Linked DNA regions of Ovis aries. The protein of the gene in region 2 purifies or fractionates together with the protein of the main gene of each other region. This does not show direct contact. Links are inferred from orthologs where the notes say so. Each region holds a gene or a part of one and is shown on either strand. Other genes may lie near its edges.

The links.
Region 1: the proteins of STYK1 (region 2) and HSP90AB1 purify together in Homo sapiens (affinity purification with mass spectrometry; 3 studies listed by BioGRID and IntAct, with this or other methods). This does not show direct contact. The link is inferred for Ovis aries from reciprocal best matches to the Homo sapiens genes STYK1 and HSP90AB1.

Annotation. Positions count from the first base shown.
Region 1 is NC_056073.1:17,732,645-17,738,521, forward strand, and holds the start of HSP90AB1 (heat shock protein HSP 90-beta), read left to right. Parts: upstream 1-1,986; 5' UTR 1,987-2,086; intron 2,087-3,427; coding exon 3,428-3,574; intron 3,575-3,886; coding exon 3,887-4,093; intron 4,094-4,187; coding exon 4,188-4,347; intron 4,348-4,494; coding exon 4,495-4,628; intron 4,629-4,745; coding exon 4,746-5,054; intron 5,055-5,405; coding exon 5,406-5,571; intron 5,572-5,782; coding exon 5,783-5,877. UniProt on the Homo sapiens protein: Molecular chaperone that promotes the maturation, structural maintenance and proper regulation of specific target proteins involved for instance in cell cycle control and signal transduction. Undergoes a functional cycle linked to its ATPase activity.
Region 2 is NC_056056.1:204,601,612-204,607,451, reverse strand, and holds the start of STYK1 (tyrosine-protein kinase STYK1), read right to left. Parts: upstream 3,694-5,840; 5' UTR 3,589-3,693; intron 1-3,588. UniProt on the Homo sapiens protein: Probable tyrosine protein-kinase, which has strong transforming capabilities on a variety of cell lines. When overexpressed, it can also induce tumor cell invasion as well as metastasis in distant organs.

The DNA of each region.
Region 1 (5,877 bases), on a different chromosome or scaffold from region 2:
CACACCTTCACAGGACTGTGAAATACTGTGAATGCTCTTGTGAACCAGGGAGCAGATGTTTAATTAACCCCTTCTGTGCATAGGAAGGGCAGGTGCACTGGTGGGGGTGATGCTCCTGGTTTGAGGTTTCCATCACGAACAGAGCAGCCGGGAGCCCCTCCTAGCAGCAGCGCCCACGCCCCTTCCCACACTCACTGACTTCTCCCAGCCACAGGCTTCTCCCAGACCATAATGAAGAGAAGTAGAAGCCTATGGAGAGATGAAATTGAGGTAATGGGGGCGGAGCTGTTGAGGTCTGGAGTTCGGGCCAAGGAGAAGGGAAGGAAGGGTCCTTTGTTCCCTGGAACTCAACACATGAACAAAGAAAATGTGAAAGGAGGAGACTGGGCACCGAGGCTGCTGAGGGAGGTCCGCGGGTGGGTGGTGGGGGAACCTCTCCCCAGGATGCCAGGGACCGACAAAGCAGGCCACGAAGGGAGTTGCTGGACATCCACAAGGTCACAGCGTAGGGAGGGGCCATTCTCTCCTGGAGGGTATCTGCGTTAAAGGAGGCTTCAGAAATAAGGCCTTGGAAAAGTAAGGCCAGCTCACCAGCTGGAGAGCACGCAAACGTGGCAGAGACAGCAGAGAAGGGCGTCCCTCTGGCACTCCCTAGGCAGGTCCATGGCCTTGAGGCTCCTGGGCCACAGCCGAAGGGGAACGACTTGCTTCTGGCACCTGGATGGGGCCACACTCTGACCAGCGTCCTCATGCTGCCTCCAAGAACTCCTGCCACCCTGCAGGAGTCCTGGGAGACCGGACTCTTCCCAGATCTAGGCAGCTGCAGGAGGAGGGAAGAGGGTGGGGAAAAAAAAGAAAAAGGAAGCCAGACTGAGAAACAACTCGATATTCAAGTCTCTGCGCTCCCTCACCTGTGGGCGGCTGGGGGTTGGGGGTGGGAGCGGTCCGTCGGGTAAGCGACCGCATCCCCAGTGTCTGCTCTCGGAAGGCGGCACCCTCAGAGCCGCCCCACCGGCCGGTGTGCTGTGTGATCGATGGGGGGAGAAGTGGGGTCATCCCCGCTCCACCCCACCCGGACGCAGTGCCCGGCTAGCTGGGTCTGGCGGGTAGGGTAATGGATCCCCTCTGCAGTTTCCTGGAGGAAATGTAATGAAGGTATAGCCTACTTGGACACCAGGATCCCAGCAGTGCGGTTGAGGGGCGGAGCCACCGCGGAGGCACAGCCCAGGCCGCAGAGGGCGGGGCGGGGCCTCAAGGGAAGGGGCGGGGCAGGGCCGCCCCGGCCGGTCTGGAAGCTGCTGGAAGTGTCGCAGCGCCGCCGCCCTGGATCCTTCCGCCGCGTGTGCAGTCAAAGAGTCCCCTGGCCGGCTGGAGCCAGCGCCCGGCCCGCAGCCGGAGCCACGCCTCGCCGCGAAACGCCGGCCCGCCGCGGGAGGGCCTGTATTCCAGGCATGCCCACAAAGTGGGACCTTTAATTCCGCAACGCCCGCGGAAAAGAACCCTTTCCCGTATCAGGCAATTAGAGTATGTGTAGGGCAGCTTCTAATGAGGAGGTCGAGCCTCGGAGCGTAGGGGGGAGTGGGTGACCCCTGTTTAGGCTTGGACCTTAGTCCCGAGGCTGGGACTGTCAGGAGTGGAGATGCCTGCCCTGCAGGTTTTCACAGAGGTCAGTGGGGAATCCTCGCTTCTAGTTCCACCGTTTATGTTATATGATTACTCCCAACATATGTTTCTGATGGTGTCCTGTTTTAGGAACGCGGAGACGGGGCTGTGAACAGGAGTAAATAAGTGTACTTGATCTCAAGGCCGGCGGCTCCCGCCTTTCAAGGTCCCCTCCCCTATTTTGGACCGTGACGTCAAGGTGGGCGGGCGGGCGGCGGCAGGTGCGCGGCAGACAGGCATCCTCCTTTAAGGCGGAGGGATCCGGGGGCGGGCAGCTGGGCGGTGCTTCGCCTTATATAAAGTGATTGGGGGCACACAGCCGTTCTCTCGAGTCACCCCCGCGCAGCCTTCTTGTGGCGAGTGAGCCCGAGGAAGCCATTGCCTGCTCGGTGTTCTCTAATACCTGTGATTGTTATCCTTGAAGGTAAGGCTCCTGTCTCATCTGGGCTTTTCAGATTAGCTTGTTCTTTCGCGTTGCTTTCGGCCCACGCATCCTTTCCGAGACCTACATCTCGTGTTGGGACCGGTTCTGGCGTAACGCTCCCATTGCTTCTCTTGGGGGAGGGCTGGGAGCGAGCTTTTGAGTTTAGACTCTATGTGATTGGCGGCGGGGCTGCTTTCCCGCAGCTATAAAGCGTTGTTTCGTGGGGCCGCAGAATGGGGCGGGGGGGTAGGCACTGCACGTGGTGGCCGCGCCGGCCCGGGACGCTGCCATGTTTGCCTCTCCACTTCCGGACGCGGCTACGGGGCGCCGGAGGGTCCCCGAGCCGGGCGGGTGGGCGCGCCCTCTGTGACTCAGCAAGGCTGGTCATGACCAGGTTTTGCCACTTGTTCTATCGGACACAATTTTTTTAAAGTCCTTTCTTTCGGGGCTTTTCCGTGAGGCTCTGCGAAGAGCTCCGTTTTCGGTCGCCGGCGGCGTATGTCGTGCTTCCTCCATCCTTCCAGATCTTTCCTGCGTCTCGGTGGAGGAGGGGCTGGCGAGCGGAGGGGGCAGGCTTTGGGATTCGTGGGCACGTCCCTTCCCCCGCCCCTCTCCGAGAACTGAGATTGTTCTGGAAGCTTCTGGAGCCCGGCGCCCCGCCCTGGTGCCCGGATGTTGGGGCGAAGGGAGGCTGCGCGGTGGCGCCCCCTCCTCGCGTGGTCGACGCATGTCCAGCCGTGACGAGAGTCGGCCCCGCAGACTAAGGCCACCATCTTAGTGTTTGGTTTGGGCTTGAGCTTCAGTCACGTGTGCAGAGAGGTCACGATGGAGCCCTTTCTTTATCGGTTCTTTGTCTTGATAGCCCACCTGGATGGGCATTCCGCCAATCTCGAGTTAGCTGTCCCTACTACGGGAGGCAGCAGTACCACATTATCTCCTTGGAGTTACCTAATGGGAGGACAGTTTTAAATGATTGCCCTTTAATGTGAAACTAATTACTTTGAAGGTGGAACGATAGTAATTTGCGTATTTAAATATATGGGAATTTACCTCGCTTTCGAGATACCTGGGTTGGAGTGCCTAACTAGATTGTGCTGATCTATGATTCACTTAACAGGAGTTTGGGTTCACAATAACTTGCAAGAAACATTAGCGCAATTTGTTCAGTGTGTTAGGTGCGCCCCTCCCCCCGTTGTTTCTAAGGGTGCTGCCTGAAATTGATAGAGGGAAGGATTTTCCAGTCTTTGTACCCAGCTCAAAACAGTTTGAATAGAGTCTCCTTAAGTGTATTGTGGCTGAGGGTGAACTTGAGGAGTCTTAAATTCTTGCTTTTTATTTTAGATGCCTGAGGAAGTGCACCATGGAGAGGAGGAGGTGGAGACATTTGCCTTCCAGGCAGAAATTGCCCAACTCATGTCTCTTATTATCAACACCTTCTATTCCAACAAGGAAATTTTTCTTCGGGAGTTGATCAGTAATGCTTCTGATGTGAGTGCCCTGAATGTCTTCATTGACGTTGGTTTTTTGTTTCTCAAGTACTCCAAGAGAGGGAAAGTGGGGGTGGTTTGGCATTTTGTGGTGTTAACTGATAAAGGGGGGATATAAACTTAACTGCTGTTCCAAAAAGTATTGCCTTGCTCTCTGTGGATAGATGGGATACTGTAACCCACTGGATGTCGTTCTCAACCTACAAGCTAAAGGAGTAATCAGAATTAGCGTATTTGGGGAGTTTAAAAAACTTTTTGGGTGAGATGGGTTTTGAGGAAGCAGAATTGTAAAACTGCAATTTTGTACTTTCAGGCCTTGGACAAGATTCGCTATGAAAGCCTGACAGACCCTTCTAAATTGGACAGTGGTAAAGAGCTGAAAATTGACATCATCCCGAATCCCCAGGAGCGTACTCTGACTCTGGTAGACACGGGCATTGGCATGACCAAAGCTGATCTTGTAAATAATTTGGGAACCATTGCCAAGTCTGGCACTAAAGCATTTATGGAGGCTCTTCAGGTACGTGGTTGGTTAGGCACACTCCATTTATATTATTGGTGTTTGCTTTGCCATTTCTTTGAAACTTGAGTTTGACTTTTAAACTTTTTGGCAGGCTGGTGCAGACATCTCCATGATTGGGCAGTTTGGTGTGGGCTTCTACTCTGCCTACCTAGTGGCAGAGAAAGTGGTGGTGATCACAAAGCATAATGATGATGAACAGTATGCTTGGGAGTCTTCTGCCGGGGGTTCCTTCACTGTCCGGGCTGACCATGGTAAGTTGGCTTTCCTGTTAAGGTGTCTGGATTAGCATTCTGGGGAAACACTAATGAAGATCTTGAGTATTGTATGTGTAAAGCAGTTATAGTTCTGCGTTTGTTTATTTAGTTTCTTATATTCTGTTCTGATTAATTTTTTTCTAGGTGAGCCTATTGGCCGTGGTACCAAAGTGATTCTCCACCTGAAGGAAGACCAGACAGAATACTTGGAAGAGAGGCGGGTCAAAGAAGTGGTGAAGAAGCACTCTCAGTTCATAGGCTATCCCATCACACTTTATGTGAGTATGGACTGGTAACTCAAGTGCAGGTAACTGCTGCTTGAGAGAATTGCATGGACTTTGGGGTTTTTTTTTTGCTTTTTTGTACTCTGAAACTGTCATCTTTGATACTTCTAGCTGGAGAAAGAACGTGAGAAGGAAATCAGTGATGATGAGGCTGAAGAAGAGAAAGGTGAGAAAGAAGAGGAAGATAAAGATGATGAAGAGAAGCCTAAGATTGAAGATGTGGGCTCAGACGAGGAGGATGATAGTGGCAAGGATAAGAAAAAGAAGACAAAGAAGATAAAGGAGAAGTACATTGATCAGGAAGAACTGAACAAAACCAAGCCCATTTGGACCAGGAACCCTGATGACATCACCCAGGAGGAATATGGAGAGTTCTACAAGAGTCTTACCAATGACTGGGAAGATCACTTGGCAGTGAAGGTAAGAAGTCTTGCTTGTTGGCTCAGTAGGAGGAGCTGATATGGACAAATGGAACTTACCCAACTGGTTGGTAGCTGGGAACTGTGAATGCTATGAGTTGATTTGCTAATGGACCCTTCCAGGGTGGAGAAGTGACATCTTCCCCTGTGACCTGTCTCTGGTGGCTTTACCCACCTGGAGTCTTTGACCCAAAGATGATATAGTGCTTGCAGTTGGATTCATTTAGGGCATTAGGGCTTAAATTTTCTCTACAGGGATAGGAAGTTTTTGTTTCAAATAATTGGACATTTTGGTATTGGGACCAAAAGCCACTCTTGAGTACACAGTCAGCTTATCTTGGATTTCTTTCAGCACTTCTCTGTAGAAGGTCAGCTGGAATTCAGAGCACTGCTGTTCATCCCCCGTCGGGCTCCTTTTGACCTCTTCGAGAACAAAAAGAAAAAGAACAATATCAAACTGTATGTCCGCCGTGTGTTCATCATGGACAGCTGTGATGAGTTGATTCCGGAATATCTCAGTGAGTATCTTTTTGCCCTAATGTAGTTCGTTTCTGCGTTCTCGGGGGCTGGAGTCTTTATCTTAGATTAAGGATCCTCTGCAACCTAACAAGTGAAAGTTTGGTGAGAAAATCAGTCTTTCTGTTGAATCCAGATGACTTTATATACCTTTTATCTTTATCCCCGCCACTCCTGTATCTTTAAAACCCAGCTTCCATATTTTGATTTCAGACTTCATCCGTGGGGTGGTTGACTCTGAAGACCTTCCCCTGAACATCTCCCGAGAAATGCTCCAGCAGAGCAAAATCTTGAAGGTTATTCGTAAG
Region 2 (5,840 bases):
ATAAATAACCTTTAAAAAATAAAAACAAGGAAACCAAGCCAGCTTGGCCCAGCCCTCAGGAATTCTGCTTCAGCAACTTGAAATTAGCCCTTATCCACAACAGAACAGTCATGGCCACTGGGAAGAGGGGAAGTCCCCGCTCACACCAGCTTGAGCTCTTGCCCCTACGTGTCCAGCCTGAACTCCTATCAGGATGGCAGCTTCCAGCACACCCTGAGGAAAGATGTGATTACATCCACATTAAATCCAGCTCTCCCACCAAAGGTACAGGGCACACACAGTCTACACAGAGATGCTCCCACACAAGAACACCCCTTTAAGACTGTAAGAGGTAACTATTTCACCTGAATTTAGGTCAGAGAAAGTTAAACCAAAAAAAAAAAAAGGCAAAGGAACTGCTGTCAACTGAAACAGCAAGAAAAACATCCTGAAAAAAATATAATAAAACAGAAATAAACAATTACCAGAGAAAGAATTCAAAGCCTTAGTAATAAGAATGTTAACTAAATTAGGGAAGAGAATAAATGAACACAGTGAGAATTTTAACTAGAAAATATTTTTTAAAACTCTAAAAAATGGAGAATTCAATAACAAAAAGCACAGTAGAAAGAATAAATAGCAGATTAAGTGATACAGAAGAATGCATAAGAGATCTGTAAGACAGGGTAATGGAAATCACTTGATCATAAAAGCAAAACGAGAAGCAAATTTTAAAAACTAAAATCAACCTAAGAGATCTCTTGGATAAGATTAAGTGCACCAATATTTGTATTAAAGGGCTTCCAGAGAGAGAAGAGAGAGGGAAGGGGATCAAAACTCATTTATAATCATTTCAAAAAGAAAAAAACACTTAGGAATAAATCTGTCTAAGGAGACAAAAGAAATATACTCCAAAAACTATAAGATGCTGATGAAGGAAACTGAAGATAACACAAACAGATGAAAAGCTATATCGTGTGCCTGAACTGGAAGAATCTATAATGTTAAAACTACCATGCTAACCAAGGCAATTTACAGATTCAATGCAATCTCTGCCAAAATATCAATGGCATTTTTTACAGCTGTTGTTCCCCAAGTCATGTCCAACTTTTTGTGACCCCATGGACTGCAACACACCAGGCCTCCTCGTCCTTCACCATCTCCTGGAGTTTGCCCAGGTTCATGTCCATTGATCGGTGATGCCATCAAACCATTTTTCATGGAAGTAGAACAAATAGTTAAGAAATTGTTATAGAAACACAAAAGAGCCCAAATAACCGATCTTGAGAAAGAAGAACAGACCTGGAGGAATCACTCTCCCTGACTTTAGACTAGACAACAAATCTATAGTAATCAAAATAGTATGGTATTGTTGACTCAGTGGACATGAACTTGGGCAAACTTTGGGAGATAGTGAGGGACAAGGAGGCCTGGCCTGCTGCAGTCCATGGGGGTCACAAAGAATCAGACACTGAATAACAACATAAAGTGACTGAATAACAATAACGACATAAAGCAGTGAGATCAGAACATTTCCTTACACAAGAATAAATCAAAATGTAAGACCTGAAATCATAAAATTTCTAAAGGAGGACATAGGTAGAACAGTCTTTGACACAAATTATAACGATATTCTCTTGGATCATTCTCCTAAGACAAAAGAAATAAAAGCAAAAAAAGAAATAAAGAAATAAAAGCAAAAAATCCAAATGGAATAAACTTAGAGGCTTTTGCACAGCAAAGGAAGCACCAAAAAACAAAAAGACAATGTATGGAATGGAAGAAAATGTCTAAAAATGATACAATTAACAAAGGCTTAATATTCAAAATATACAAACAGTTCACACAATTCAATATTTAAAAATAACACAATCAAAAAATGGTCAGAAGATGTAAATAGACATTTTTCCAAAGACATACAGATTGCTAAGAGGCACGTGAAAAGATGCCCAACAACACTAATCAACAGGAAAATGCAAATCAAAATCACTGTCACCTCACACCTGTCAGAATGGCTGTAAATAACAAATGTTGGAAAGGATGTAGAAAAAAGGGAACTCTTGTACACTCTTGGTGGAATAAAAAATTGGTGTAGCTGCTATGGAAACAATATGGATGTTCCTCAAAAAACTAAACACAGAAGGACCCTCTTGTTGTTTAGTCACTGAGTCATGTCTGACTATTTTGTGACTCCATGGACTGCAGCCCGCCAGGCTCCTCTGTCCATGGGATTTCCCAGGCAAGAACACTGAAGTGGATTTCTATTTCTTTCTCCCGGGGATCTTCCCAATCCAGGGATCCAACCCGCCTCTCCATTTGCAGGTGGATTCTTTACCACTGAGCCACCTGGCAAGCCCTAGAACCACCATATTACCCAGCAGTTCCACTCCTGGGTGTCTATCTGGAAACACAAAAACACTAATTTGAAAAGATTCATGTAACCCAGTGTTCAAGGCAACATTATGTACGATATACAAAGTATATTGCAATAGAAGCAACCCAAGTGGCAATTAACAGATAAGTGGATTAAAAAAGACATGACATGAGTATATATATATATATATATATATATATATATATAGCTGAGTAACTGTTCTCAGCCATAAAAAAGAATGAAATTCTGCCATTTGCAGCAACACAGATGAACCCAGAGAATATTATGCATAGTGAAATAAGTCAGACAAATACTGTATTCACACTTACTTGTGGAATATAAAAAATAAAACGAATGAATGTATATAGCAAAACAAAACAGACCCACAGATATGAAAACAAACTAGTAGTTACTAGAGGGGAAAGAGAAGGGAGAAAGGGCAAGACAGGCGTAGAGGATTAAGAGACACAAACTACTCAGTATAAAATAGATAAGCATATTGTACGGCACGGGGAATTACAGCCATTATTTTGTAATAACTTTTAATGGAGTGAATGAAACCTATAATAATACTATAAAGAATCAATCACTATGCTGCGCATCTGATACTAATATAGTATTTAAAATCAACTACACTTCAATACAAAGAAAAAGAGAAAACAAGAAGAAAACCGAAATTCCAGTAAACAAAGAATAGCATATCACACTATACAGTTTTTAAGTGTGATTACAGATATTATCTCATTTAAATATCACAACAACTCCAAGAGATAATTACCATTCTTAATTATGCGTAGCAGCAGATGAGGAGCTGAGCTGAGCCCAAAGGCGGGCTGAAAGACCTTACTGTCCTGTGACAGGTAATTTCTGTACTTGACTTTTTCTTTCTATCTCCCCTCTCGCTATGGCCTCCTCTCCAGGAATACACAGAGACCCCTCATCCCTTCGCTTTCTGGCTACCTCTCTCCTTGCCCAAATTGCTGAAAATTTGCCAAAATTCTGTCTTAAAAAAAAAAAAGACAGACGCTAAAACTCGCGAGATGCCTGTTCCGAAGAAATACAGATTCATTCACCTGGTGATTGCTGTTTGCTCACAAAAAATACAAACAGCCACCCACAGCCATCCCCCTTTCGGCCGCCTCCCTCTTTTTCTTCCCCAAACAGCGAAGTCCACCCCTGACTGCATCACTACTATCCTCCTCTCACCCGTCATACCCCCAGACCGTTTCCACTACCTTGTCCCTCCTCCGGTTCCTCCTCCGGTCACTCTGTATTTCAGATGAAACTTGCTCAGCCAGGGAAGAGGGAAAAAAAACCTCGTTTTGCGTAGGGCAAGTTGTGCCGGCCTCAAGGAAATGTTTTTCAGTCCCTCCTTCCCACCATGGGGCGTGGCCGCGGGCAAAGGATGGAGTTTGGGCGGGCTCCCCACAAAAGGAAAAGTCTGCGGGCACTGAGGTTTCCGGGCCTCACCACACCTGAACCAGCAGGAAACCTCTGCCGAAATTGTAAAAGCTGGACTTGTTGCTGATCAACTTATTCATTTCCTTCTCAAGCGATTGCTAGATAGTCAGGTATAGAAGACCTGCTTGTCCAGGTGAAAATGCAGTCACGATAAGGCGCAACAGCGCCACCTTCTGTGCAACTCAATAACAGTTGCCTTCATCGGTGCTCAAAATGGCCAGGATTTGACCTTGGGCTCCGGGACAATCGCAACCCCAAGCCTTTACTGAGCGCCCCAGTTAATACTGACCATGAGGCAATAGATTGGGAATAATTGAACATAAAAATCTCAGGAGTAAGTAGTCAATCATTCACAAATGCTTTTAAAATAATCTATGTGCTGGGTTCTCCTCTAGGGATACAGTGATGAGCCACCTACTTAGGTTACTGGCCCACAAGGAATTTACAATCATAGGAGACCCTGAAGAAAATACTCGCCTGGGAGAACTCCAGACTTGATACTAGCACCGAATACACGTTCTACTCAAGAAATATAGGCCACATAGTGTGTAGATGGCTTGCTGGCTGAGCATTGTTAGCAAACCAAGCAGAAATTGGGCATCCTTAGAACAGAAAGAATTTGGGTACCATGGGATGTCGAGCGTTTGAAGACTGGGGTACTTCAGTTCTCTGGAGTCTTTGCTATTGTCCAGGTGAAAATTCCCTTTTATTAAAAATTCCAGTTTTATTCTCTTCAGAGCTCTTTTAAAATAGGAAGAACTGTACTGCATGCCATTAAATTGTACATTTAAGAATGGTTGGTGGTTAATTTATGTTATGTGAATTTTACCTCAATTTAAAAAAATGAAAGAATGAAGTCTCCTCAGTCAAATTTTCTTCCCATCCTTTACGTCATAACTGATGAATAAAAGCCAAATGAACAAATCTGAGCTTTATATTATGGCCTCTTCTACTCTGCTTTCCCATGGACCCTGATCTCCTCAAAGCAGAGACTGCGGCATACTCATTTTTGTAATTCCTGCAACACCTGATTATCTTGCTGAATACCCATTCTGATACACAGAATTCTGTTTAAAAATCTCCTTTTCGTAAAGGAGTCACCATAGTCACAAAAGTTATAACCTCTAAGACCTAGAAAAAAATGTAAATACATATAGACTGAACAAAGGGGCATTCAAAAACGTATACTCTAATGTTAATGAACAATTCAATAAATGGTGAATTTTTAAATTTTCGGAGATAGAGAAAACTCTGGAAATAATGCTCAGATATATGAAAACACCAACATACATACTAAATAGAAAATCCTCAGTAAACAAAAGATATAAGCAGGAGGTATTCATGTGTGACTGGTTCCACACATTTACATGTGAGTAAGGTGGCTGGATCATTCTTATTTTGCTCTTCTCTCCGAGTGTCCATTCTCTTATAATTTCCATTATTACCTCTGTCTCACAATTCTGGCCCCTTACTCGTATTCAGCAATCTTCAGTTCATCCATCCTTACCAGATGGTTATTTCTACCTCTCCATATTTATTTATTTATTGTTGGCTGCACTGGATCTTTGTTGCTGCATGCAGACTTTCTCTAGTGGTGAGCGGGGCCACTCTTTTGTTGGGGTGGATGGGCTTCTCACGGCAGTGGCTTCTCCTGTGGCAAAGCACAGACTCTAGGCATGCCGGCTTCAGTAGCTGTGGCCCACTGACTCTGTTGCTCCGAGGCACATGGGATCGTCCCAGACCAGGGACTGAACAGTTCCCTGCATTGGCAGGCGGATTCTTATCCACTATACCACCAAGGAAATCCCAATCAGCATTTATTGAATGCCCGTTTTCTGCTCTGCCAGCATTTATTGAGTGTTAAGTATTGAACAGGCTTCCCTGGTAGCTCAGCTGATAAAGAATCTTCCTGCAGTGAAGGAGACCTCAGTTCAGTTCCTGGGTCAGCAAGATCTGCTGAAGAAGGGTAGGTCTACCCACTCCAGTATTCTTGGGCTTCCCTGGTGGCTCAGCTGGCAAAGAATCC